Linked DNA regions of Kluyveromyces lactis. The protein of the gene in region 2 binds, or shares a complex with, the protein of the main gene of each other region. Links are inferred from orthologs where the notes say so. Each region holds a gene or a part of one and is shown on either strand. Other genes may lie near its edges. The genes, in order: POM152, NUP116 and NUP49.

Region 1 (11,683 bases), about 880 kb from region 2:
CTTGCAAGGAAGAGGTCATCGGTTCGACTCCGGTTTTGTCCACTTATTTTTTTTCCAATCCAAAACCTGACAGTAGCATGGGTACGCAAGGTGGAATTTAAGAGAGGGATAGTCCATCATACAGAGTGTCGTTTGCTCAATCAAATATTTACAGCACTATATCTTAAGATGCCGCTACTGCTGAAATAATAGGGCCTCCAATGATTTAAAATTTGGTAAAACATACTGTCTGCTGTTTAATTGTACTACATCAGTGACTGCATCAGATTCTTGTAATATAACCTCTGAATGGTGTAACACTTTCCTCAGAGATAAATCATCTTCTGATAACTCCTTTTTGCAAACATCAGGAGTTGTTATGTCGAAGTAACCGAATGAGTTTGATCTATCTACAAGAATTCCATTTACTCCAGCTTGGAAAGCTCCTCCCAGATCCGTTTTCTCCTCATCACCAACATGCCAGACGTGTGGCCGAATATTTTCCAAGTTCTCACGTTGACCACTAGTGTTGTGGCGTTTCAACATATGAGAGACCGCGTAATTAAACATAGCCGGGTCGGGTTTTTTTATCTCAAGATCATAAGACAGATAGATATTTCCGTCGAAATATTTCTTAAGATCTAAATTCTCTAACAACGTAAGGACAATGGGGTCAGTATTACTGACGATCCCCAAAGAAACCTCAGGATGGTTCCTCCTCATTGTCTCCAAAAATTCCCTGACGTCTGGGTATACCGTATAGGCAGCATCGCCCTCGAACCTTTCTAAGATTTCTTCTACCATTTCATTTGGTATCTGTATTGGTTCAAACATATCCCTAATTAGATACTCCCACCATTGTTCAGCCGTGATACCAGAATTTTTACCATATAAAGGATACTTTTTACGGATATTACTGAAAACCCCTGGAAATCTCTTAGTGAGTTCTTGTGGATTACCATTAATCCCGTACTTGGCACCCACTATACAATACTGTTCCATTACAGGTTTTTTGATGGAATAAAGAGTATTATATGCATCAAACGTTATGATTTTTGGCCGCGAGTGCTGCAAACTGCCATTTTTGAGTACCTCTCTAGGAATTCTTACCGGTACCATATTTCCCCGGTTAGATTAACGTTACTTGACTTCAATCTACTACTCTGAAATCGAGAGCTTTTCTATGTTTTATTTCTTTTAATGGTTCAACTTGGTATACATTTTTCAGAAAAAGCTTGGTCGAATGTACTCTGAAGTTCATCAACTTAGATCTGACATATAAATACAGAAAGCAGATATACAATAAAAAGATGCCTTAAAAAGGAGTAGAGATTCTGCCCAGGGATAAATATTGTAAAGTCGCTGTATGAATAATAGGTTTCATTGTTGGCTGTTTGAAAATAGCACTTCAACAAACCGTGTTATTGATAATCCTGTCTCGGCGGTTAAACAGCTGATAGAGAATTCGATAGACGCCAATTGTACTAAAGTGCTGATCAAAATAGATGAATCTAGCGGCGGATGTAGGTACATCCAATTGAATGATGATGGTAACGGAATAAGTGTCCAGAAGCGCAGCAGCGTTTTTGTTAAACACTTCAAAACTGACGGTAAATCATGCAAAAGAATAGGGTACAAAGGAAGAGCGTTATATAATATTGGCAAAACAGCATCGAAGAAGGGATCTATCGAGGTGATAACACGGACTATTTCAGAGAATGTTGCTGTTAAATGGTCACCACCTAGAATCAGAATAAATGAAACTATTAGATTTTCCAAGGTAGTGAATCCACCGGGTACGACAGTTATTCTCAGAGACCTAATGACGGGAAGTAAAAGCAGTAGACTGGCAAAGAAAGATAAAAATTATATTAAAATGATTAGGGATATGCTTTTTCATTTTTCTTTGATTCATAAGCATATATGTTTTAGTTGCCAGCTTGTCAATCCTCTAAGGGACGGAAGTATCAAGACTTTAGAATATGTTGCGCGGTTTGGTAAATATGAAGACCGGATGTCGCAATTCAAAAAACATGTTACCAAACAGAATCTTATAGTTGAGTTCGAACACTTTGATGAGATAGAGCTAAGTGAATCTCTAAAAGTTAATATCATATTGCCCAAAATTCGAACACATGGCAGAGTGACAGAATTGATGCCGAATCTTAAATATCCTTGCATTAATGGAGAAGCAGTAATGGTACAATCAGGCTTTGGTAAAAAAGTCAATCATTTTTTCAAGGAATTTTATAAGCATTTCGGGAAACCAGAACCGAGGGCATGGTTCATTCAATTTTTATGCCACCATACTAGCGACAATGCTGTAGTCAATGGCGAAAATAAAGCTGTCGCACTTACACTGGAAAAAGCTCTATCTATTTTGCAATGTTCACTGCTCACCTTCTACGCTCCACACATGCAGTATAATGATCCTTCAAATTCTACCCATATTGATAGTGAATCAGTGATTTTCACTCGTAGAATAATTAATACAAGTGACATTCCAAAGCAAATTCACCGGCAAATAACCAATAACCCTACTCAACAAATTCTCGAGAAGGAATCTGAATGGTTGACAGACATGTATAGCGGCACGCTATCCGATGGTAGATCTTCACCAGTAAGGGAAAACCTTCTATATTCTGACATTGTGAACACCGAGGATTGCTGCATTGAGCGAGATCTTGAAGACGTAGAGCTATCCAGAAATACGACTCTTTCAAATCCATTTATTCTTTCTCGGATCCGTGCCAGGAACACTACAGAGATAGTTGACGATCAAATTAAAAGTTCGGGCATACTAGAAACATACTATCAGAGGCAGACGCAATCTTCTGAGTTTTTTCAAGAACCAACAAGCAAGAGAAGAAGAATTTTGGAAAATGATCCAGAATATGACCATTCAACAACCCTTGTTGATATTGAGCATACAGCAACCAACAGCTCTACTAAAAACCTCGACTTACAGTTTGAACATACTTTCAATCTCGGATGTCGCAAAGCTGTCGGCCGAAGCGTTCCATGGAAGCTTCGTTTCTTGAAAAATGCCTATAAGAAGGAATTGGTCTGGTTCCACAGGAGCGGCATGCCCTCATTACCTTTATTGGATGGAATACAAACGCTAATGGAAGGCGAAGATAGTGATGTAGATTTACAGCTAATTCTTATGCCAACAGGTTGGTTTATGATAGCCCTATAGTTCACCACTTTGAAGGATCAAATGAGTTTTAAGATGGTTATTTATTATACAATGAAATCAAATTTCAATCCAACAACGCACGATTCTTAGCTGCGCAGAAGGCGTCTGACACTTCTAAAGCTTCATATGTACCTTGTAGACTGGTCACAACTCTGTACTCGTAAGTATAGATATCGGAAACTTTGTGTGTTTCAACAATTTGTTGCTTTCTGCCCTTTTTGGTGCCAGAGTTTTCAGTACGGACGTAGGTTAATGCGAAAGGAGGTGTACCTTCGAAGGAGAATATAACTTCAGCTTTGTCACCTTCATGAATATCTTCAACAATCTCTTGGCCTTGTGATACTGTTACCGACGGAATTGGATGTATATTCAAAGATAACCTTTCAAAGTCTTGTTTCATCTTCGGATTTGTGAAATCTACTACACATTGTGATGAAGAATCCTGGATTGAAAAAATAGATATAACGCCGGGCTCAGATGCATATCTGACGAACTGAGAGGAACGTTCCTTGGATTTTAGCTGCTTACCATTGAAGTCGTACTTTATTATGAATGGAGGTGTCCCACTCAATTGGTATCCAACGTAATCCCCAACACAATATTCCATGGTAGAGTCTGCTAGGGATATCCTAGGAACGTCTGTTATTGATATTGAAATCTGATTACCACTCGAAGATAGGTCATTGATACAACCGTTTGCATCAGTAACACTATCAATGCTTACTAAATGATTTCCCAACGAGAGGCCATCATACAATCGTTTGTAATCAAAGTTAGCAGCCGTAATATTATGCATGGTGAAAGAATCTGTTTTCGAAGAACTTTCGTGATAAATACTGAACGAAACAGAGAAAGGAGCTGAGCCATGAGGCACCTTCAGTTTGATATCCTGCATTAGCTTTGATTGCTCTATGTTTGCGGAGCAGGTTCTGTAGGTGCTTCCTTTCTCTAAGAATTCTATTTCTGGAAGTGAGTTTACATTCTGTCTTATCGAAAGTTGAGAAGGTTTGTACGCAAGTTTTTGGAGGTCAGCCTTCCCATAATTGGAATCATATACATTCTTAATCTTTATCACATATTCACCAACGACTTCATTAGGGAATTTAATTGAAGCATACTTCGTAGCAACTTGCACTGAAGATGAGATAAGCTCTCCTAACGGTGAAATCATATCATATTCTATCAAAAAGGGTGGTATGCCGTTTAGAGACATATCGATGGTTTCTTCAAACCCTTGGCAGACATCATTTTTAATGTAGTTGAAATCGTCCAGTTTTGAGATTCTGTTGTGCTCAATTAATGAGTACGTAGGTTTTTTGAGATAACTTACTTGGAAAGTATGGTTCGGATCTACGATCTTGCCAACACAACTCTGGTCACGAATTGAAGCCAATTTATACAAACCTTCCTTCATAACCTTTAAGGCCGGTTTATAGTTGGAACTGAAAGTCACCTCTTCAGTTTCGAGAACGTCTCCCTTGTTATCCAAATGGCTATAGGTGATTCTGAAAGGTCCTTCACCTGAAAGTTTTAATGGAAGTTCTGCGAATGAAGCTTCTTTAATGCTGACTTGGGAGGAAGATTCTGACACAGCAAAAGAAGCAGAAGGAATATCTCTTCTAACGGTAATTCTGGCATCAGTACCACTTAGACCTACCAAACATCCACTGGAATCCTTCACAGAAACTAAAGATAGGATATGATCACCACCAATGTTGAAATTAGGTGTTTCGATCTCATAGGAAAAACTTTGAATATTCTCTTTATTAAACGAAGTTCTCTTATTAGAAGAAGTCTCTACTAAATCATAGTTTAACGTGAAAGGAGGCTCACCACTGAATTTAATAGGTACCTTCGTTTTCCCTCCAAGACATAATTTTGTCTCTAGCTTCCCTGAAATCTTTGCACTAGGTTTCACTCTCATGCTGGTTTTGAATGTGTACTCTTTCGAATCTAAGGAGATAGGAGATGTGAAAAGTTCATTTGACAATTCGGTGAAAACAATTTCATAACTGCCTTCTGATGTGGGTGAATAAGTAAACTGGTTTCTGGTTCCTTGGGAGCTGAATTTTTTTGTATCATATAGTTTACGTTCTCCTTGCTCAGTTTTGTATATTTTTGTTTTGTAGTAAAAGGGAGGAACACCGGTAAAAGTAAGATCAAAATTCAAGCCGACCTGTCCAACACATTGATCTAATATTGGGGTTGATCTTACAGATAATTGAGGAGGAATTGGTTTAGTTATCAGAACATTAGATTTTCCAATCACGGCACCGTGGCAATACCTCGATTTTACTGAGAGCAAATTATAAGAACCTGGCTCATCAACTTTGAATTCTAATGTTTTATCATTGAATTGTTTTTCGAAGTATCTCACTTTGGAGTTGTTATCTTCATGGGATAACTGAACGATGAATGGAGCATCCTTGTTAAAATCGCCAGAGTCCAATTTGACTATTAAAGACCTTCTAACAGAACTGTCGGGATTCATTTTTTCATCCAAAGATACTCTTGGTAAGTCGTGCACGTAGAATCTGTGGATCAAATCATACTTTTCTCTTACTTGTGATGATAATGAGGAAAAATCAATGCTATTACCAAATCCATCCACAATTCTTTCGATAGAGTAAACATGTTCACCGTATTCTTTGGTTGAAGTTTCTAATGCGATATCTACAGGGTACGAACGAGCCCATTTTAAATCTTGGACATCTTTTTGACTGTAGAATTTTGAATTCGTTAGCAAAGGTGATTCAAAATATTCTGGTTGAAGTGATGAATCTTCTAGTACGTATCTTTGGCCATTGATTGTCTTAGTATAAGTCAATTTAAGAGGTGGAGCACCTTGTACCTGAATTGAAACCTCATCATTATCTCCAACACATCTATCATTTTCTCCCTTTCCGTTAATGGAAGCCAATGGGCAGTGAGGTAGCACTAATTGGGATTTGTATATTCTCAAATTGATATTATTAGTGTCTAGAACGGTTTTCAACTGGTAAAACCCGATTTTGTTAAGAGGTACAGTAAAGTAATGTATGTTACGATCAGTTTCTTCCTTTGAAATATCTGCCTTGAGTGGTTTTAAATCGTTCTTGGTGAAGTTCCACAGTTCACCTTCATTTGAGTATAGATCTCTGAACTCTAACTGGACTGTATTGATTGTGGATGATGAGTTGACTCTTATAGGTAGTTCAATGGCAGGACCAGATTGGTCCAGTGGTAGACAAAAAGACGAGTGGAAGGGATTCAAATATGCTGTATTTTCTGGCAAAATTTTAATGGTATGTGCACCTTTGAAGTGTTCTGCCGAATTCATAGCCTTTCTTGGGTTGACAGAGTCACCTGTTAAGGACAAGTCTCTGCTGTGATACTGTCTCCATAATGACAATAGAAGCGATACCAATGGGATACTTTGTTCACTGGAGATAAACAGTGTGAGGGTTGCGGATGAAATAATCTGCAAAAGCACTATCAGTGGTTTGAACTTTAATTTGGGTATTTTGAACGTGGGGAGACAGTAAAAGAACAAAGAGTCTATTACCAAATATTTTGAAATGAAGTTTAACCTTGAATTCGATAGAAAAATCCCAGATAATGGTATCCCACTCTTAAGTAGGATTAGATCGTATAGTTTGTAGCATTGAATGATAAAAAAAACGACGAAGGCTAATCTTCTCTGACTGGCTGCATCGAGAACTTCAGTAGAAATCAAAGGTAGCTCCTTAATCGATTCACTCGCTGGGCCATTCTTTGCTCTACTAGTGCTTGACTTCGATTTTCCTGTGTAATTGGAAAAACCGGATATACAAAATGGATCTTCTTTTGGTTTGTTGATCTCTTCATTTCTTCGATCGCTTATTCCTCCTCTGAACGAGTCTTTATCTCTATTTCCAACGTTCCTACGCCTACTATCACTCCACATCGATGGAGTATGTGTATAGAACCCATTTGTTCCGAAACTGGAATCCATTATCTAACTGTATATGCGTCTGAACTTATCTCAGCTTCCCTTTTCAACAGAATATGATTCTAAAGTGCCAATACGCAGAAGTTTAATAGAAAAAAATGGGATCACGCATACAACTTATCACTTAGTCGCTCGCTTTTTAATTGACGATTGGTATGTAACGGGTGCCTGGATCGCGATTGCTTGTTGATCCTAGCCTGCATCTGCATACATGAGAAGACCAAACATAAGCTTAAAGTTTGAACTTCTGTTTGTTGACAAGATCTGAATCGGATATATCATTATGTACGATTCAGGTTTCGCTTCTGATCAAGGTACAATGGTCAAGGACGCAGCAACTCTATATGATCTGCCACTACGTTGTGGTCTTAATATTCGAATTATAGCCTCTTGAATTCTTCGCCTATCCAGAATTACCAGTGAGATCGTTTGCATCGATATTATAATGTCGATTCCGTTGCATAGCTCCATTGCTTACGTCAAATTCCCGTCAAATTCCCGTCATCCTCTCATAAAACCCTAGTCAGAAGCAAGGAGGACATAAATGCTAGTAAGCAAATGTCTTTACCCCATCTGGCTAATGAATCCTGAATTAGGTAAGTTTTATCATGACCTCATCTGATAAAAACCTCGGCAAATTTGAATGCCAGATTCAGTAATAGTAATGATAGCTAAGGGTCCTAACATATATAATATATATATTTACCAGAGAGAAAAAGAATGTTTTGGTTGGAATCGAGATACTTCCATTGTCCAGGATCGTCTCCTTTTTTGAATCACAACTGGAGCACTGGAACTTATTTGTTTTCAACACCATATACAGCTCTCACGTTCGTCGTATATAACATTACAGAGGTGCATTTGAATCTCCTTCTATAAAAGAAGTTTAGAAATTTAAGGTTTTGATTTATTTGATTTGCACTCTTACAAATAAGTCATTTACGAGAAGAGAGTTTGCTAAAACACGATACGTTAGAATCTGTAAGAGTTTGAGGCGCTAGCTCAATAGAGGTCAGATATTCTGTGTTGTAAATTGGTGATAGTTCTGCTGTTTTCATTCTCTGTTTATTGGAATTTAGATAAAGGAACGAAAGACGGTAATTTATTCTTGGCACGTTACTGTTGGTACTTAAAGATTATCTAAACTGTGAAACTGCCATGCTTATACTATCTCGTGTATTCGAGAGGAACCATGTTGAAATTTTGAGGAAGTTTATGAAGTTTGTCGGACCTGGGATCATGGTCAGTGTTGCATACATGGACCCTGGGAACTATTCTACTAGTGTGTCAGGTGGTGCACAATTTAAATACAAATTGTTGTTCATCACATTCATTTCAAACATATTTGCGATTGTCTTGCAATGCCTCTGCATCAAGCTAGGTACAATCACTGGTTTGGATTTAGCTGAAAACTGCCGTCGTCATTTTTCAAAGCGTGTTAATTATATTCTATACGGGTTTGCAGAAGTTGCAATTATCGCAACAGACTTGGCGGAAGTGATTGGTGCTGCCGTTGCATTAAATATCTTGTTTAACATTCCCTTGTTATGGGGTGTGCTGTTGACCGTTTTTGATGTGTTGCTGATACTTCTGTTTTACAGGCCAGATGAACATTCCATGAAACGGGTCCGGGCGTTCGAAACTTTTGTTGGGATTTTAGTTGGAGCGACAGTTATTTGTTTCGCTATTGAATTGTTCAAGATATCCGTACCAAGCAAGTTAGAGGTGTTCAAAGGCTTCATTCCAAATCCCATCATCTTCAAAGAACAACAAGCGATGTATATCTCTTTAGGTATTCTTGGTGCTACTGTGATGCCTCATTCCTTATTTTTGGGTTCCTCTCTCGTAAAACCAAGGGTTTTCGATTACGACTTAAAAAAATACGGTAAAATTAAGGAACAACCTTCAGTAGGTGCCATTGAGTACACGTTGCGATATTCGTACGCTGAATTGATAGTGTCGTTGTTTTTCATCGCCACTTTCGTCAATGCTGCCATTTTAATAGTCGCTGGTGCGACTTTATATGGGCAACCCGATGCAGAGGATGCTGATTTACTCTCTATTTATGAATTATTGTCCCATTATGTGTCTCCAGCTGCTGGGCTCGTATTTGCATTGGCAATGCTCTTTAGTGGTCAATCAGCAGGTGTCATTTGTACCATGGCAGGTCAAATTGTATCAGAAGGGTTTTTAGAGTGGTCACTTGAACCTTGGGTGACTCGTCTATTGACAAGGTTGATAGCCATCGTACCCTGTTTCTTAGTTACGGCTTTCTTGGGAGAAAAGGGGGTATCTAGTATTCTAAACTTGAGTCAAGTGGTTCTCTCATTGATTTTACCAATCGTTTCTGCTCCTTTGATTTACTTCACTATGAATCATAAAATTATGACCGTTGTGGATGTGGATTCTGCACCCGCATCTGCAGACAGTACTGAAGAAAGTAGATTATTATCGAAAGGCGTTAAGTCCATTGACTACACCAATGGAAGACTGTTGAGCATCAGTTCATTTGTTATATGGTTGACAATTGGTTCATTGAATTGTTATCTTGTATTTTCATACCTCATGGGAGCGGACGTGCATTTTTAAGTCTAAGTAGGCATTTTATATAGTTTTGATGGATTCTGTTTAATCTATAATCAATTCGTAAATTGTACTTATTGGATCTGCTTTGTTGATCTCTTCTCTTGTACCTTTGTTGTGGTTAATTTCTTTGTTCTTTATATAATCTTTAATTGTTCTTGGACATTTACCTTCGAAAGTAATTGAGGAAGTAAAAAAATCGAAACACTGATGGTTTCAGAAAATAACTCCAAATAATAGTAACCGTTAGCTATCACTGATAATAAACTAGCCCCACAGATTATTGCACACTACCACAGCTGCGATTTATAGATTCTATACGGAAATATCTACTTCACTGCATAACTTTCTTACTTTTCTTTTTTCTAGTCGATATGGTCTTGACGACAGGAACTGATCCGGCATAATTAGTCTGAAGGACTGGGAAATGTTTCTCGTGCAATTTTGGAGATGTCACAATCTGTTTAGAAAGTAGAGCTTCTTTCAAGATGTTCTGTGCTCTATGATAAAGGGAAACTTCCTCACTTGTTGGTTTTGATATCTTGTTCAGCTTGACCCTTCTCGATTTACATGCCTTTAGCTTTAGCAATATCTCTGTCAATAACCTTTGCTGTTCACCTTGCTCAAAAGCCGTTATATCTTCATCATGTATCTCATGGCTAGGTTGCCAGTCATAAAGATTTTTCAAATTAATATTGACAGGTCCAGCTGGCTCCGTTGTCACTATTACTTCATCTCCCTCCTCATTTGTATCTTGCTCTTCATCCGTGGCAACATTCTGCTCTTCATCATTTTCATTTGATTCCTTTTTTTGGTTGTCAGATCCGATACTGTCATTTGCTTCCTCAACCTTTTGATCTTCAATACCCTCATCCTTTATTTTTTCATCTTCAACATTTTTATCTTCTGCTTCCGCAGCCCCTCTCTTCTTCGATTCTATTTCTAACCAGCTTTTGTATCCGACCTTTTCCAACCATATGTCTCCTTTACGGGAACAATCTGTTACAGACTTGAACTCCGAGATACTCGGAGCAAAAGATTGATAGTCGCCATACTCCAACCATTTAGTAGTGGGTAGCGGGTACCAATTCGGATGCAGAAAGGAGGTCATGATTTCTGTAGGAGAAATTGTTGGATCAGGAACATTGGAAGTGTTAGCTGCTACGAATCCCAATCTATTGGCTGGTTGGGATGTTGCTTGAGGAATAATTTTCACAATTTCACATTCCTCGTATGGTACTTCCTTTGGCCTCTGATCAAGTACTGACCTCGTTATCACCGAACTGAACAAATGTCCCTCCTTTGTCTGCGTATGGTAAGTTTCAGTAACGGGGAGCTGATAAACTTGACTAATTTTAAGGAAATCATTGGAAATGGTTTTTGAAAAATCACTTTCTTTGAAGTCAATGTCTGCCGCGAAGTCTCCCACCAGTTTGGCTCCAACTCTATAACATTCCCTTAGAATCAATTCTGCTGCAAATTTGTAGAATTTGTCGACCATTTGGTACGACCTCGTTCCTTGAGAGTAGTAGTGAATTAAAATGGAGCATACTAATTTAATATCATGGTAAATCCGATAAACAGAATCTTCATGCTTCTGGTAATCTCCACTAGCAAATTTATCAGATATGGAAATTGAATCAATATCTTCTGCTATTTTGATATCTGGATTTTCATCAAACTTGGCCCTTAGAAACTTCACGTAAGAATCGTATATGTGTGTTGGATCAGGCTCGTAGAATTCTTTAGGAAACCTTTCATCTAAAGCTCTGCATTTCGAAGATGCACTAATTAAATCAAAATAAAATTAATACTGTTAGTATTTGATTGTAAAATAAAATCATGCTTTGGCAAATCTAACACTGAAAACATAAAATAAAGACTTGAGGAACCCCAGGTCATCGTATGCTGGTCTTTAATTTATTATTATCACCGATTCTAGACAAAAACAT
Region 2 (3,536 bases):
TCTGTTCCATTTTCTTTTGTGGTCCGTCGTCAGTATTGAAGATTATGAATTTCAATTCACCAGATGAGGTATCATCTTCTTCCATCTTTTGGCGATTGATGATAAGGTTTTTGAAAGACTTTTTGTCTGGATTAAAGAGGAGTTCTCCGGTAGTTAAAATAGCCTCATCAGTAGATGCAGTGAAAATTGAAGAATCCATAGGCTTTCTTGTTAGAGCAGTCGAACTAGTGTCTTCCTCCTTGGGTTTTGATAGTTTTAGATGAATTTTAACCTTTCTGGAGTTCGGTTCCGACTTTTTAGAGTCAAACAAGGGTTTTGGAAGCAGCTTGTATGCTGCGGAGAGGGAGTTCTTTTTCTTCAAGTCTGCAGAAACCATTGTGGCACTAGGCTTAGTTGGTTGAGTAATGGAATTAGGAATAGAGATAACACGGGAGAATAGCTCATCCGTACCATATGGATTGGAGTTCGCTTGTGCTGCTTGCTGCTGGTTTTGCATTTGTTGGTTTTGTTGCAAGGAAGATGAAGAGAATAAACCACCTGTATTTGCATTACCAGAAGTGTTGTTTTGTGATCCAAATAATCCTGTCGAACCAGTATTTGCTGGCTTATTCGCAGAAAATAAACTTCCGCCACCAATTGATGAGGCATTGTTCGTGTTTGTTGCGCCAAAAGGTGCAGTTCCGGCAGGTTTTCCACCGAATAATCCACCTCCAGTGGTACTACTCAAACCACCTGTTGGTTTAGTGCCGAAAAGGCCACCAGATGTTGACGCACTATCAGCTGGTTTGGCACCAAATAGACCACCAGTAGCCGTATTCTGCTGTTGTGTGTTGCCTCCGAATAACCCGCCGTTGGTAGCTCCTAAAGCGTTAGTGCCGGAAGGTTTGGCACCAAAGAGACTACCCGATGATTGACCTTGTTGCTGGTTGTTTTGACCAAATAGACCCCCCGTTGCTGTGTTGTTCTGGTTGTTATTTTGACCAAACAATCCGCTAGATGTATTCTGCTGCTGACTACTTTGGCCAAATAATCCACCAGTAGTTCCTGTTGGTTTTGCACCAAACAATCCTCCGGTGTTGTTTGCCATACTGTTGTTCTGCTGACCAAATAAACCACCGGTGTTAGGTTGCTGTGTTTGTTGGTTCTGATTACCAAATAACCCCCCCGTTGCAGACGGTTGATTACTTTGTCCGAACAATCCGCCAGATTGTTGTTGCTGATTATTTTGACCAAACAGCGCGGAACTACCACCCATTACAGTTTTATTTTGAGCTCCGAATAACCCAGTTGAACCTTGTTGACTTTGGTTGTTTGATCCAAACAGGCCACCGGTAGTTGGCTTCGCACCAAATAATCCTCCGCCCTGTTGATTCATGGAGTTGCTATTTTGTTGTCCGAAAGGACCGCCAGTGCTAGCTGCGTTACTTTGTTGTCCGAATAATCCTGTACTGTTTGTGTTAGATGGTTGTTGCTGTCCAAATAAACCTCCGCCAGTATTGGTGTTGTTTTGTCCAAACAATCCACCCGCCTGAGTATTGTTTACCTGACCGAATGGAGTAGAATTAGCAGCATTTTGTTGACCGAAAGGAGAGGGTCCGTTCTGTGCTTGCTGACCGAATAAACCGCCACCTGTAGTTCCACCTGGTTTTGATCCAAATAATCCACCTGAGGTGTTATTATTCTGACCAAATGCGTTATTGGCGTTACTTTGTTGACCAAAAAGTCCACCAGTATTGGCCGCTGTGGTGTTATTTTGTCCAAACAAACCACCCGGTTGATTGTTGGTGTTTGTTTGGCCGAAAGTGCTCCCAAAGGTGTTTGAACCAGTATTTTGACCAAATGCGTTACCTGGGTTTTGCTGTTGGTTTTGTTGACCAAATAATGAGTTGTTGGCTTGACCAAATGCGGAATTATTATTGGTGGTGTTTTGTCCAAACAGACCTCCAGAGGTAGCCGGTTTGTTTAAACCGAATGGAGAAGAACTTGAAGCAGTATTTTGCCCGAATGGAGAATTATTCTGCTGTTGTCCAAACATGCCAGTTTGCTGTTGCTGCTGTGGTTGGCCAAAGGGAGTGTTATTAGGTTGTGAAAATGCATTTACAGGCTGTTGCTGGCCAAAAGGTGAATTTGCAGGCTGTTGACCAAAGGGAGTTGCGCCACCTGCACTGATGGTATTTTTATTTCCTAAACCAAAAGTGTTGTTAGTACCATTTGTCTGTTGTTGACCGAATGGCGAAGCAATAGCAGAAGCTGTCGGACCTCCAGCAGTGGTGCTAAATTTCCTATTTTGTTGATAATCTTGGAACCTCAACTCTTCAAACGAATAAAGGCTATATTCAGGCATACAAGTAATAGATTGAAACACCGATGGATATCCAGTTGACACATCCTTTTCCGTATAAGGTTGGAATGGCTTGATTCCAGTGCCAGAAGGAGGTCCAGAAGAGAGAACGCCTGTCGCTGTACCACTAGATTGGCTACCACCAAACAGGGATGGTGGGTTCGACAATGAATTACCTGCTGCTGCTCCTGCTGCTGCCCCGCCAAACGGAGAAGTAGTTGTATTTTGCTGTTGTGACATACCGAATGGGGAATTTATAGTTTGCGTAGGGTTTGTATTAGCGCCGCCGGTACCAAACCCACCAAACCCTGATTGCGCGTTGTTGGCAGAGCTGGATCCAAACAGATTGTTTGTGGTTCCACTATGCTGTTGACCGAACGCATTGGTTGTTGACTGAGTTTGTTGGCCAAAAGGAGAAGTACTCGTCTGTCCAAATGCCGGTCGAGAAGCACCAAACATCAGTGGGTCAGGAAATCAAGTGAGGTGACAATTGATGAAAAAGCTGACTAGGAATAAAATAATATGTCCTTCAATGACACAAGTAATCTCTAAGTAGATAATACCAAAGTCGTAGCGTTTTGGTTCAATGGTATTTTTCTGAGAAATAATTTAAAGATGAGTGAGTGTCCTTGTTCTCTGATTGTGAAAGAAGAAACACACTAATCAATTAACGATCTATAAAAAAATTTCCCACTTTACGCACTGTATGAATACTTTTATTGGTCTCAGTTGCTGATAGTATGACTGAAAGACAAATACGACAAATCATATAAGCCGAAACATTGCTTGCATCAACTTAGAAAACGTTAGTTCTTTATCATCAATTAGTTGTTTACTTCAAGGATAAAGAAATTTTCAGAGGTGAGGGATGACCTAAAATCGTATTAAGTGACATAGCGTACGTAGTGATACGTAGTTTTGGGGGATTGTGATGTAGCAGTAATTACTTGAGCACAAGGGAACAGCTGCTAATGCAATTCTGAGTTGGCTCCCTGTTTGAAACACTTAATTCCAATATGTTATATATAATGAATTCCGTCTGTTAAATTACCCAAAAAGTATATATGTTCTATATAGTCGAAAGAAATGAAAATAAAATGAGAGATAAAGCCAGGCAGTAAAGGCATTAAAAGATGCATCTCTCTGGTATGCAAATCTTCGGTAGACACAATAAAGTAGATGTGAAACCCCCTTA
Region 3 (10,957 bases), about 380 kb from region 2:
AAGCGCAAATCCCTCGTCCAGCTAACACTATACCTCGATGAAACGTACCTGCTCTCTCTTTAAATGTCTGTTTAGCTTTGCTGAACAAGTGGTCTGCTAAAATAATACTTGGCAAACACCGTCATTTATATATAGTATATGTATTTATTCTTGGAGATTAATTAAATTAGTGAAGAATCATGGTTTAATCATTTCGAGGGGAGAATCCATCAGAACGGAAATTTTACCCTGCCAACCGATGATTCAAAAAAAAAAAAAAAAAAAATTTGGCAAAAACACTCAAGTGCAATTTTTTCCCAAGAAACGGCAGTAAGAGGAGAAACAATACGTCGTTAGATGCAATACGGCTACGTGGGTTATTGATTATTAAACGTTGGTTGTTGTCCATATATAGCTATAAAAAAGAACGTGGTTTGCTAGCTTCTTATGAGCGTGCGAGCAAGAGTTGCATGGGCAGCCAGCCTAACCTGATCCCGATAAACCTCAGCTACCGAGCTGCTCTCTTCTGAAGCGGCTTTGCAAGGGTTACGGATGATGGTGGTACGTAATTATAAAGTGGGTACGTCTTTGCTGGGTGACTGGAATTTCATGTTTCTGTAAGATTCTCGGGAGGGTAACAATAATGATTATGATAACACCCAAGGCCGTTCAACAGGGTCTGGGCCCTCCTCGAAACAAAACAAGTTTTGGGCCATGTATCATCATTATTTACGGATGTGTCGTGTGACACTGAGATCTTCGCTCTTATTTACCGTAATATACATATACCAATGCACATATCTGTGTGCTTTATATGTATAAATATGTAAATATAAAATATACCATCCTAATTACCTGTATTTCATTCTGCATCATATTGTAGTATACGATTTGTATAAAAAAGTTCAAAAGCTTATTATCCTTTAAGGTTAAAGATAAAAATCAACACTTGTGGCACTTGTGTTTCTTCTCGTGTCTTCGTAAATTGCTCTTGACATTGTAGCTCTTGTTACAATCAAGATATGTACATTTGAACGGTTTCGCCTGTGAATGCACCACTATATGTGTTTTCAAAGTGCTTGGACGAGAGAATTCTTTCCCGCAAATGTGGCATTTCTTACAGTGTATTTTCTTCTTGTAACGAGCCCCACGTCCTTGCTTTTGGTTCCATTCGTGGATGTACCCGGGTTCTGGTCTATCGTGCAGTAGCTTTTCTTGCAATTGTTTGAAATCTAACTCAGACAATGAATCTGTGGAAGAGCATGAAGAGTCTGAGTGGGCTCTGGGCCTAAATATTGCGTCACTTGTGTCTATCTTATTTTCAGCTTTTACTTTTTTCTCATCGGCAATGGTCAACGGGGGACTTATCGAGAGTTTAGTTATTGGAGGTAACGTCCTTGGTGTATCATCGAAATTGTCTGTGTCTGTGTAGTTTACTAAGTTACGAATGGATGGAAGAAGCGAAAATTGGTTACAACTTAGTGTCGCTCTGCCTCGATTTTCTGCCATTTCCTTTGGGCTCTTGGGTAGTGGTAAAATCATCTTCTTATCCATTATGTTTGGTTTTATTTTTATGTTATCTTTTTATTTGCGTCAGCGTGTGCTGATCTTATCCCACGGCCTTTTACGTCTCCTCCGCTGGTCAACTCCCGTAAAGAAAATGCTTTTTATATGCATATATATATATATATTTATACACTGTTACATGGCTTCAGACATGTGCCAAGCGGGTTTACTAGAAACCTACCAAGAATGTCACTAGATTGCCGTTATGATTGGCATATATAAAACACGTTTTTCCCTTGCTCATGACTCGTGGTCCCTCGAGTGGAAGAGAACAAAAATTAATTCCCAACAAAGTACGCAGTACTTTCCAATCATTACCACGTGAACTTGAACCCACATGCAGCACCATGCACGGTCTTTTCTTGATAAAGACCGTGCTTTTCTAACAATTTCCTTTTCGTTTTACTTAAGATGAGGTACCTTATTAACATTACGCAGATCCATGTTCGGCGTATTTGGTTCCACGTGGGAAATTCACGTGTTGGCTGATAAGCTAGTTATCATTTCGGGACGCCCTGGGTTTTTTAAAAAGGTCTGAAAGTCATTTGCATCCCCGAAATCTGATTTTGGACGATTACCCCTCCTGTTACCCGGACATGCGACGGGGAAATAGACATGATCTGGCCCAAGATGTTCCGTCATAACTGGGAGAGAACCTCTGTGCTGTAGGCCTGATGAAGACATACTTTAGAAACGAAATACACATACATATATATCCTGGAAAAACTGTTTACGTATGGTATATATCAAATTTTACCCTGAATCACACATCACATTCTTACCCTTAAGAGATCAAGTATTTTATGGTATTGGTGGCGAAGCTTATCAGAGGATTTGTACCAAATCCTAGGCACGGAAAACTTGCGCAAATGTGGGAATTCAAGTGGGTACATTTTCCTCATTTTTCTCTGGTACCTATGGATAGCAGCTTGTAAATTTACTCTGAACTTGAATAGTGATTGTCGTTGACGGGGCCATTGCGTCTCCTTGTAGCTATCGAATCTCTGTTTAGTTAGCGAGTAGAAAGCAGTGATCCGGTCTTCTGCTGTTTCCTTCGCATTCTTCGTCCATTCCTTAACGCTTTCGAAGTTTTCACGCCTCACCGTTGTACTGACCCAGTTAGAAGTTGCTGCATAAGTAAATTTCAACTTCTTCTGACATACTTCGTAATATTGCTCAAGAGAAGGGAAGCTAGGGTAATATGATGCTAAAGTGGATGGAAGTGGCGTTTTCTTCACGTATGCTGCTTCGTATGCATGGGCCCTATGGCCCATGTATGCATCAAATTGACAAGCCAATCTGTCCTTGAAAGCTAGTGAACTACACTCTAACTCGTTGTTTTTAGTAAAACTGTTAATATCACGGATGAAAACGGTCAAGAGGCCCATGTTGATGAGACCGGCCACCAACGAAATTCCAAGAATAACGGATTGAAGTTTCGTCAAGCGCGCTGTCCATGTATTGCTCCTTGCTGTTGTCTTTGCAGGCGCAACGTTGGATAATGAATCCAGTGGCGTGGATAACGACGTAGTATTGTTACTATGATTAACGCTCCCTTTCTTATTCTGCAACACTGCGGAATCCTCTAAGTCGCTGCTTGTCACCGATAAAATATCGTCCATTTCACCAGCGTCAAGATCCCTGATGGAATATGTACCGTCCACACCACCAACGACCCCCCAAGTGTCATTTCCATCCACTGATGTACATCTATCTTTTACTTCAGCCATCGCTTCGCTTTAATCAAAAAAAAAATCTCCTAGCTCCTTGATTTTACGCCTGAAGCTTGATCTACAATAAGTTTATACTGACAGAATTAATACTAAAATGTCACACTTAATATGTCTCTGATATTCCAATAATGATAGTTAGTTGCCAGCAACGTTCTAAAATTCTTATCAGTCCTATATATATTTCTTGAGTATAATCACAAAACCAGGACGCCTTTCCTTTGTTCTTTGTTTCACATTTTCGTTTCCGGGAAAACTGTTACTCCTTGTTAACCATTTTTTAATCCTTATTCCTTTTATATTTGTCGTATCAAATTCCCTTTTTTCACAACTCATTGACCTAAATAAGGAAGGGAAGATAAAGGGAGCCTGAGAAGAGAAGACTGCGAAGAGACAAGTGGCAGATGCGGTGCAGGTGCAGTGCATGTGCAGGAGTTAGTGATCTGCATCAATAGGTAATATGTTCTTGAACGCTTTCTTTTTTTATAGTATTAAAAGAATAATATCGACTATTTAACTATTATTTCTTTACACTTCTGATGCAGTTCTGCTATTCTTTCAGCTGTATCCATGAATAGTTTGAACTCTTCGATTAGAACGCTGACGATAATGTTAACACCGACCTTGGTATCATCATCTTCGGATGAATCGTTCCCAAAGAGATCATTCTCTAGACCTGACACTGCGTCGTCAATATTGCTTAGAGTGTCGTTGTAGTCATTTAATTTGTGTTTGTATGTGATTAATTTTTCCTGGAAGAACTTATCTATCTCAACGTTTGATATTTTGAATCCCTTACTGACTAGTTGTTGCAACATTATAGCAAAATTTTCCAATTGTTTAACATCTTTATCCACTAGTGTCTTGATGGCATCGATTCGTTTCAAATCTGATGATAGTGATCTTGTTGCGTTGAAATGCAATTTTTGTAGATACTTGATGTCACGAGGGATTGAATCCAATAGTTCAGTTTGATCTTGTAGATCAGCTTCAAGATGTTTGGATAAAGACACTTGCGTTCTAATGAATTGGTCCAATTGTTCGATTTCTTGACGAATTTGAATCGGAAGCTCCGATATCTTGGTCATCGGCGTGATAGCTAATTGGTTAATGAAATTAATGGCACTCTGTTGAGTCTGTTGTATCTGTTGTTGTGGTGGCTGTTGAAATTGATTTTGTGTTTGTCCAAACATTCCTAAACCAGATTGTTGGGATTGCTGTTGTTGATTTCCGAATGGGCCTCCGGTAGTTGGTTTGGATCCAAACAATCCTCCACCAGTTGCAGAGCCTCCGAAACCGGTAGTCTGTGGTTGTGCTGGTTTGGATCCAAATAATCCTCCTCCAGTTCCAGAGCTTCCAAAACCAGTGGTCTGTGGTTGTGCTGACTTATTCCCGAATAAGCCTCCGCCAGACCCGGCTCCTGAGTTACCAAATAGGCCACCTGTGGAGCCAGTGGCTGTATTATTAGAACTTCCGAAAAGTCCTCCTGCGGTTTGGTTCGTATTGTTGTTGGTGCCTGCTGGATTACTGCCAAATAATCCTCCGCCAGTCTGTGTCGCTGTATTGTTATTGTTTCCAAATAACCCTCCTCCAGTGTTACCTGATGTGGCATTGTTATTACCAAAAAGACCACCGCTAGTGCTTTGCTGGTTGCCCGTATTCCCAAATAATCCTCCTCCTGTGCTTGGTCCTACTGGAGGACCTGTAGAAGAAGAACGGCCAAACATTTCGTTTCTATCAGTAATAAGAGTATTAGATATTTACACGCCGTAAATTCAGTTAATTCAACTTACTGTTCAGTATCAATTGGTGTCTCAATTCTGCTCTCTCCATCTTTCTTTTTAACCTCATCTGTTTACTTTCTCAGTTTCCATATTCAAAATGTTTTCAACTCTTCCATCAAAGAGTATAAAACAAGAAAAAAAAGCTTGAACTTATGGATCCGGGTAACCCATAAACCTCGTCTCAAAAAATTTTGCCACCACCAAGAAAAATATTCCGATTGAACATTGGAAAGAATTACCAAATTACCTTAACGATTATGTTACTAAACAGTAGCTTTGGTTAATGTACTTTCAGGGTCTTTCATCCATATCAGGGTATATTATAACAATTCACTAAAAGTGGTTACTCATTGTTCGGCAACGTATACTACTGGTACTATCCAATCCCAGTTGTTGTTGATCTTTTCTATTGTTGGAGGAAAAAAGTCAGTAAAGCAAACCTCAGAAAGTGTTCAATTAATTACGGTTTGTGGCTTAACTAAAAATGGGTATTCCAAAATTCTTTCATTTCATCTCTGAGAGATGGCCTCAAATTTCTCAATTGATCGATGGATCACAGATTCCAGAGTTCGACAATTTGTACTTGGATATGAATTCTATTTTGCATAATTGTACGCATGGTGATGGTAGCGAGGTGAATTCAAGACTATCAGAGGAAGAAGTTTATTCCAAAATTTTCAGTTATATTGATCATCTTTTCCATACTATTAAACCAAAACAGACATTTTATATGGCAATCGATGGTGTGGCCCCAAGAGCAAAGATGAACCAACAAAGAGCTCGTAGATTCAGAACTGCCATGGATGCCGAAAAGGCTTTGCAGAAGGCCATTGAAAATGGTGACGAGTTGCCTAAGGGAGAGCCATTTGATTCCAACGCTATTACCCCAGGAACAGAATTTATGGCAAAATTAACCGAGAATTTGAAATATTTCATCCATGACAAGATCACCAACGATACCAGATGGCAGAACGTGAAGGTTATTTTCTCCGGGCATGAGGTTCCTGGTGAAGGTGAACATAAGATCATGGATTACATCAGAGCAATTAGAGCACAAGAGGATTACAATCCAAATACAAGACATTGTATCTACGGGTTAGATGCTGATTTGATCATCCTAGGTTTATCCACCCATGATCACCACTTTTGTTTATTAAGAGAAGAAGTTACTTTTGGTAAACGTTCGTCTTCTGTGAAAACTCTAGAAACACAGAACTTCTTCTTGTTGCATTTGTCTATCTTGAGAGAATATTTGGCATTAGAGTTCGAAGAAATAACAGATTCTGTGCAGTTTGAATACGACTTTGAAAGAGTATTAGATGATTTCATCTTTGTATTATTTACCATCGGTAATGATTTCTTACCAAATTTGCCCGATTTGCATTTGAAAAAAGGTGCATTCCCTGTGCTATTACAAACTTTTAAAGAAGCTCTCCAACATATGGATGGTTACATTAATGAACAAGGTAAGATAAATTTGGCAAGATTTTCCATTTGGTTGAAGTACTTGTCCGATTTTGAATACCTTAACTTTGAGAAGAAAGATATTGACGTTGAATGGTTCAATCAACAACTTGAAAATATTTCCTTGGAAGGTGAGCGTAAACGTACTAGGATGGGTAAAAAGTTGTTGATGAAACAACAAAAGAAATTGATTGGCGCCGTAAAACCATGGTTATTGAAAACCGTTCAACGGAAGGTCACTTCTGAATTACAGGATGCCGATTTCGAAATTTTCCCTCTTGAGGATAAAGAATTGGTTCGGGCCAACCTGGATTTCTTGAAGGAATTCGCATTTGATTTGGGTTTAATTCTTGCTCATTCTAAATCAAAAGATTTGTACTACTTCAAGTTGGATTTAGACTCCATCAATGTGCAAGAAACAGATGAAGAGCATGAAGCCCGTATTCACGAAACAAGACGTTCTATTAAGAAATATGAACAAGGTATTATTATTGCATCTGAAGAAGAATTAGAAGAAGAGCGTGAAATTTATAGCGAGAGATTCGTTGAGTGGAAAGATCAATACTATAAAGATAAATTAGATTTTTCCATCAATGATACTGATAGTCTAAAAGAAATGACAGAAAACTATGTCGGAGGTTTACAATGGGTTTTATACTACTATTATCGTGGATGTCCATCTTGGTCCTGGTATTACAGATATCATTACGCTCCTCGTATATCAGATGTGATCAAAGGTATAGATCAGAACATAGAATTTCACAAGGGACAGCCTTTCAAGCCCTTCCAACAATTGATGGCCGTCTTGCCTGAGAGATCAAAGAATTTGATTCCAGTTGTGTACAGACCACTCATGTATGATGAACACTCTCCTATCTTGGACTTCTATCCTAACGAAGTAGAGTTGGATCTAAATGGCAAAACAGCAGACTGGGAAGCTGTCGTCAAAATTTCATTCGTGGATCAAAAGCGTTTAGTAGAAGCAATGGCTCCTTATGATGCTAAGCTTTCTCCGGATGAAAAGAAAAGAAATTCGTTCGGAACTGATCTGATTTTCATATTCAATCCTCAGGTAGACACAGTTTACAAAACACCACTAGCGGGGTTGTTTAATGATATTGAACACAATCATTGTATCGAAAGGGAATTCATTCCAGAATCGATGGAAAACGTTAAGTTCTTATTTGGTTTGCCAAAGGGCGCTAAACTCGGAGCTAGCTCTTTGGCCGGTTTCCCATCCCTAAAGACACTACCACTAACTGCAGAGCTTGCTTATAATTCTTCTGTTGTCTTCAATTTCCCTTCTAAACAACAATCTATGGTGTTGCATATTCAGGACCTTTACAAGGAAAATGGCATCTCTCTGTCAGATCTAGCAAAAAGACATATGGGTAAGATTGTTTATTCAAGATGGCCGTTTCTAAGAGAATCTAAACTTTTGTCGTTGATTACAGAGGAAACTGTGTATGAAGGAGTTAAGTCAGGCAAATTAACAAAGGTCATTGAAAGAAAGCCTCAGGATTTTGAAAGGAAAGAATTTAGAGAGTTGAAGATGACTCTCAAATCGAATTATCAAAGGACAAAGGCCATTCTTTTGGATGACATTTCTGCTTTGGCTAAAGTGGTTCCAGTAAATGGATTGGTGAGAAACTCTGATGGTTCCTATTCTAAGTCTTTCAATGAAACTATCGAATACTATCCTTTACAATTAATCGTAGAGGACGTAAAAAATAAGGACGAAAGATATATTGAAAAAGAGCCGTTACCAATTAATAAAGAATTTCCAAAAGGTTCAAAAGTTGTGTTTTTAGGTGATTATGCGTATGGTGGGGAGGCGACCGTTGATGGTTATAATAGTGAGACTAGATTAAAACTTACAGTCAAAAAGGGTTCTCTCAGAGCAGAGCCTAACATCGGAAAAGTTAGAGCGAAATTGGATTCTCAAGCCTTGAGATTCTACCCAACACAAGTGTTTTCAAAAATAGCTCGTGTCCACCCTCTCTTCTTGTCAAAAATTACTTCAAGATATTTGGTCAATGATTCTAAAAAGAAAAGCCATAACGTCGGTTTGATGATCAAATTCAAAGCAAGAAATCAAAAAGTTCTCGGTTATGCCAGATGCAGCTCAAACAAATGGGAATACTCTGACGTCGCTCTTGGTTTGTTAGAGCAGTTCAGATCTACATTCCCTGAGTTCTTTGCGAAACTTTCTAACTCGAAGGAACAAGCAATTCCATCGATCACTGATCTCTTCCCTAACAAATCTAGCGCGGAAGCTGATTCCATTTTGAAAACAGTGGCTGATTGGCTCTCAGAAGCAAGAAAACCATTCGTGGTGGTGTCTTTGGAAAGTGATTCGCTAACCAAGGCTTCGATGGCAGCTGTTGAATCTGAAATCATAAAATACGTTTCTTTACCAGATTCAAGCGAGCAGAAGAAATTAGCTAAGGTCCCACGTGAGGCAATCTTAAATGCGGAATCGTCATATGTTCTATTGCGCTCCCAAAGGTTCCACTTAGGTGATAGGGTAATGTACATTCAAGATTCAGGCAAGGTTCCACTTCACAGCAAAGGTACTGTCGTTGGCTACACTTCAATTGGCAAGAACGTCTCAATCCAAGTTCTATTTGACAATGAAATAATTGCAGGAAACAACTTTGGTGGTAGGTTGCAGACCAGACGTGGTTTGGGATTGGACTCTTCCTTCTTATTAAACTTGTCTGATAGACAATTGGTATATCATTCAAAGGCATCGAAGAGTGCTGATAAGAAACCAAAAGCAGTTCCTAATGATAAGCAAGTCGCCCTCGCAAAAAAGAAGAGAGTGGAGGAACTCAAAAAAAAGCAAGCCCATGAGTTGTTAAATCATATCAAGAAGGATAACGCGGAATCAAATACCGAATCTGGATCCGCTCCGCAAATAGCAGTTAACACTTTAAATCCTTCGGCTGCTAACAACGTGTTCAATGCCGTCTTGAACCAAATCAAACCAGGTTCTCAACAGCAAATTCAACCACCTCCAGCAAATTCTCTGCCTTACAATTTCACTGTTCCCCCACATATGGTTCCTGGTGGTATTCCTCATCCTCTTATGATGCAGCCGCCTTTCATTCCGAATAATGAGCATATTGCTTATGCAGCTCCTCCTCAGTCACAACCTGTACAAAATCCACCATTAGATAAAGAGGCATCCAGGAATCTTAAGAATCTCCTAATTAGAGATGAGAATGGACGTACAGCAAATGTGGAGAATAAAGACTCAGATGATACAAAGAGATCTTCTCATTCTCGTGGCGGTCGTCGTGGCCGTAGTAATCGTGGTCGTGGTGCCTCCGGGAGGGGTGGTCATTTCAAAAATTCTCCTAAAAAAACTGAAACCTGAATGTTGGTTTGAATGGACTATTAACAGTAAATATTATATCACTTCAGTAAATAATGCTTAGTATATAAGAATAGAGACACTTTCAGGTTCAACTTTTCAAAATTCCCGGTTTGTTGTTTGTTCCTTTATTTTTTGATCAGCGATATCGTGACTCTTAGCAAACCACTTAGTTTCAAACCCATTTGATCTATCAACTCCATCCCATCTATAACCGGGAACGATACCGAACCGATTTTCTGGAAAGTTTTTCTCGTAAAGCCTTCGACCCAACAGTGACGTATTCGTTCCTCGCAGGGTGTTTCCTTGATTCAATGGATCTTCGGTTGATAATAATGCACTTTTCTCAGTTTTGCGATCAAGTTTTGATATTTGTACTTCGCCTATATTTCGTATTTTAAGTTCTTCTTCCTTACGTACTTTCGCTGTCAAATTAGCCTTTTCTCGAAGTTTCAATTCTTCTTCGTATCCATCTATTACCTTACCTTTTTCGTCTCTATATACTGTGTTCTGATTCTTCTTGAGAAGCCCTGATTTTTGCATAGAAAGTTTTTCCTTTTCTGCGATCTGCTTTTCCATCTCTTCTGCTGTCTGTAACCCAGCAAAGGCGCCTGACGACATCCTTTCCTTACTATCGTCCTTTTTGTCGACATCAACGTGTTGTACAAGTTCCAACTTTTCAGTTTCAAGGTTTTTCCAAAGAGACTTTCCTGTTTTATTTGAGCTTGCAGCCTTCTTGTTTTCTTCAGTAATAAGATTAGCCTTGTCAATAATATCAATATTTCTTGATGTGACTCTTTTAGACTCATCGCTCTTTCTGTGTGATGACTTATCCTTAGACTTTTTCGTCTTCTCTTTACCGTGCTTTGAGCCGTAAGACTTCGCCAAAAAATCGTTAAGTGACATTATATTAATTGGGTCGGTTTGCAATTCTACCCACCCTAAATGCTGTGATAAGCTCTACAGCTATGTAAACATCTGAGAATCTGCTTCTGTTGGGGAGCTCTATAGCCATGTTAGCCTTAATCTGAAATCAAAATAAGGTTTTCTTTTCC

The links.
Region 1: NUP116 (region 2) and POM152 share a complex: the UniProt entries of both Saccharomyces cerevisiae proteins name them as parts of the nuclear pore complex. The link is inferred for Kluyveromyces lactis from reciprocal best matches to the Saccharomyces cerevisiae genes NUP116 and POM152.
Region 3: NUP116 (region 2) and NUP49 share a complex: the UniProt entries of both Saccharomyces cerevisiae proteins name them as parts of the nuclear pore complex. The link is inferred for Kluyveromyces lactis from reciprocal best matches to the Saccharomyces cerevisiae genes NUP116 and NUP49.

The regions. Positions count from the first base shown.
Region 1 is NC_006042.1:1,583,972-1,595,654, forward strand, and holds POM152 (Pom152p), read right to left. Parts: upstream 7,152-11,683; coding exon 3,243-7,151; downstream 1-3,242. Other genes in the region: DPI35 (Dpi35p), read right to left, coding at 175-1,098; mismatch repair protein MLH2, read left to right, coding at 1,346-3,178; putative divalent metal ion transporter SMF3, read left to right, coding at 8,307-9,737; RSC58 (Rsc58p), read right to left, coding at 10,066-11,518. UniProt on the Saccharomyces cerevisiae protein: Functions as a component of the nuclear pore complex (NPC).
Region 2 is NC_006042.1:2,466,511-2,470,046, reverse strand, and holds the start of NUP116 (FG-nucleoporin NUP116), read right to left. Parts: upstream 2,801-3,536; coding exon 1-2,800. UniProt on the Saccharomyces cerevisiae protein: Functions as a component of the nuclear pore complex (NPC).
Region 3 is NC_006042.1:2,085,692-2,096,648, forward strand, and holds NUP49 (FG-nucleoporin NUP49), read right to left. Parts: upstream 5,003-10,957; coding exon 3,785-5,002; downstream 1-3,784. Other genes in the region: KLLA0_F22319g (uncharacterized protein), read right to left, coding at 922-1,533; KLLA0_F22341g (uncharacterized protein), read right to left, coding at 2,316-3,275; chromatin-binding exonuclease XRN1, read left to right, coding at 5,544-9,905; BUD13 (Bud13p), read right to left, coding at 10,002-10,808. UniProt on the Saccharomyces cerevisiae protein: Functions as a component of the nuclear pore complex (NPC).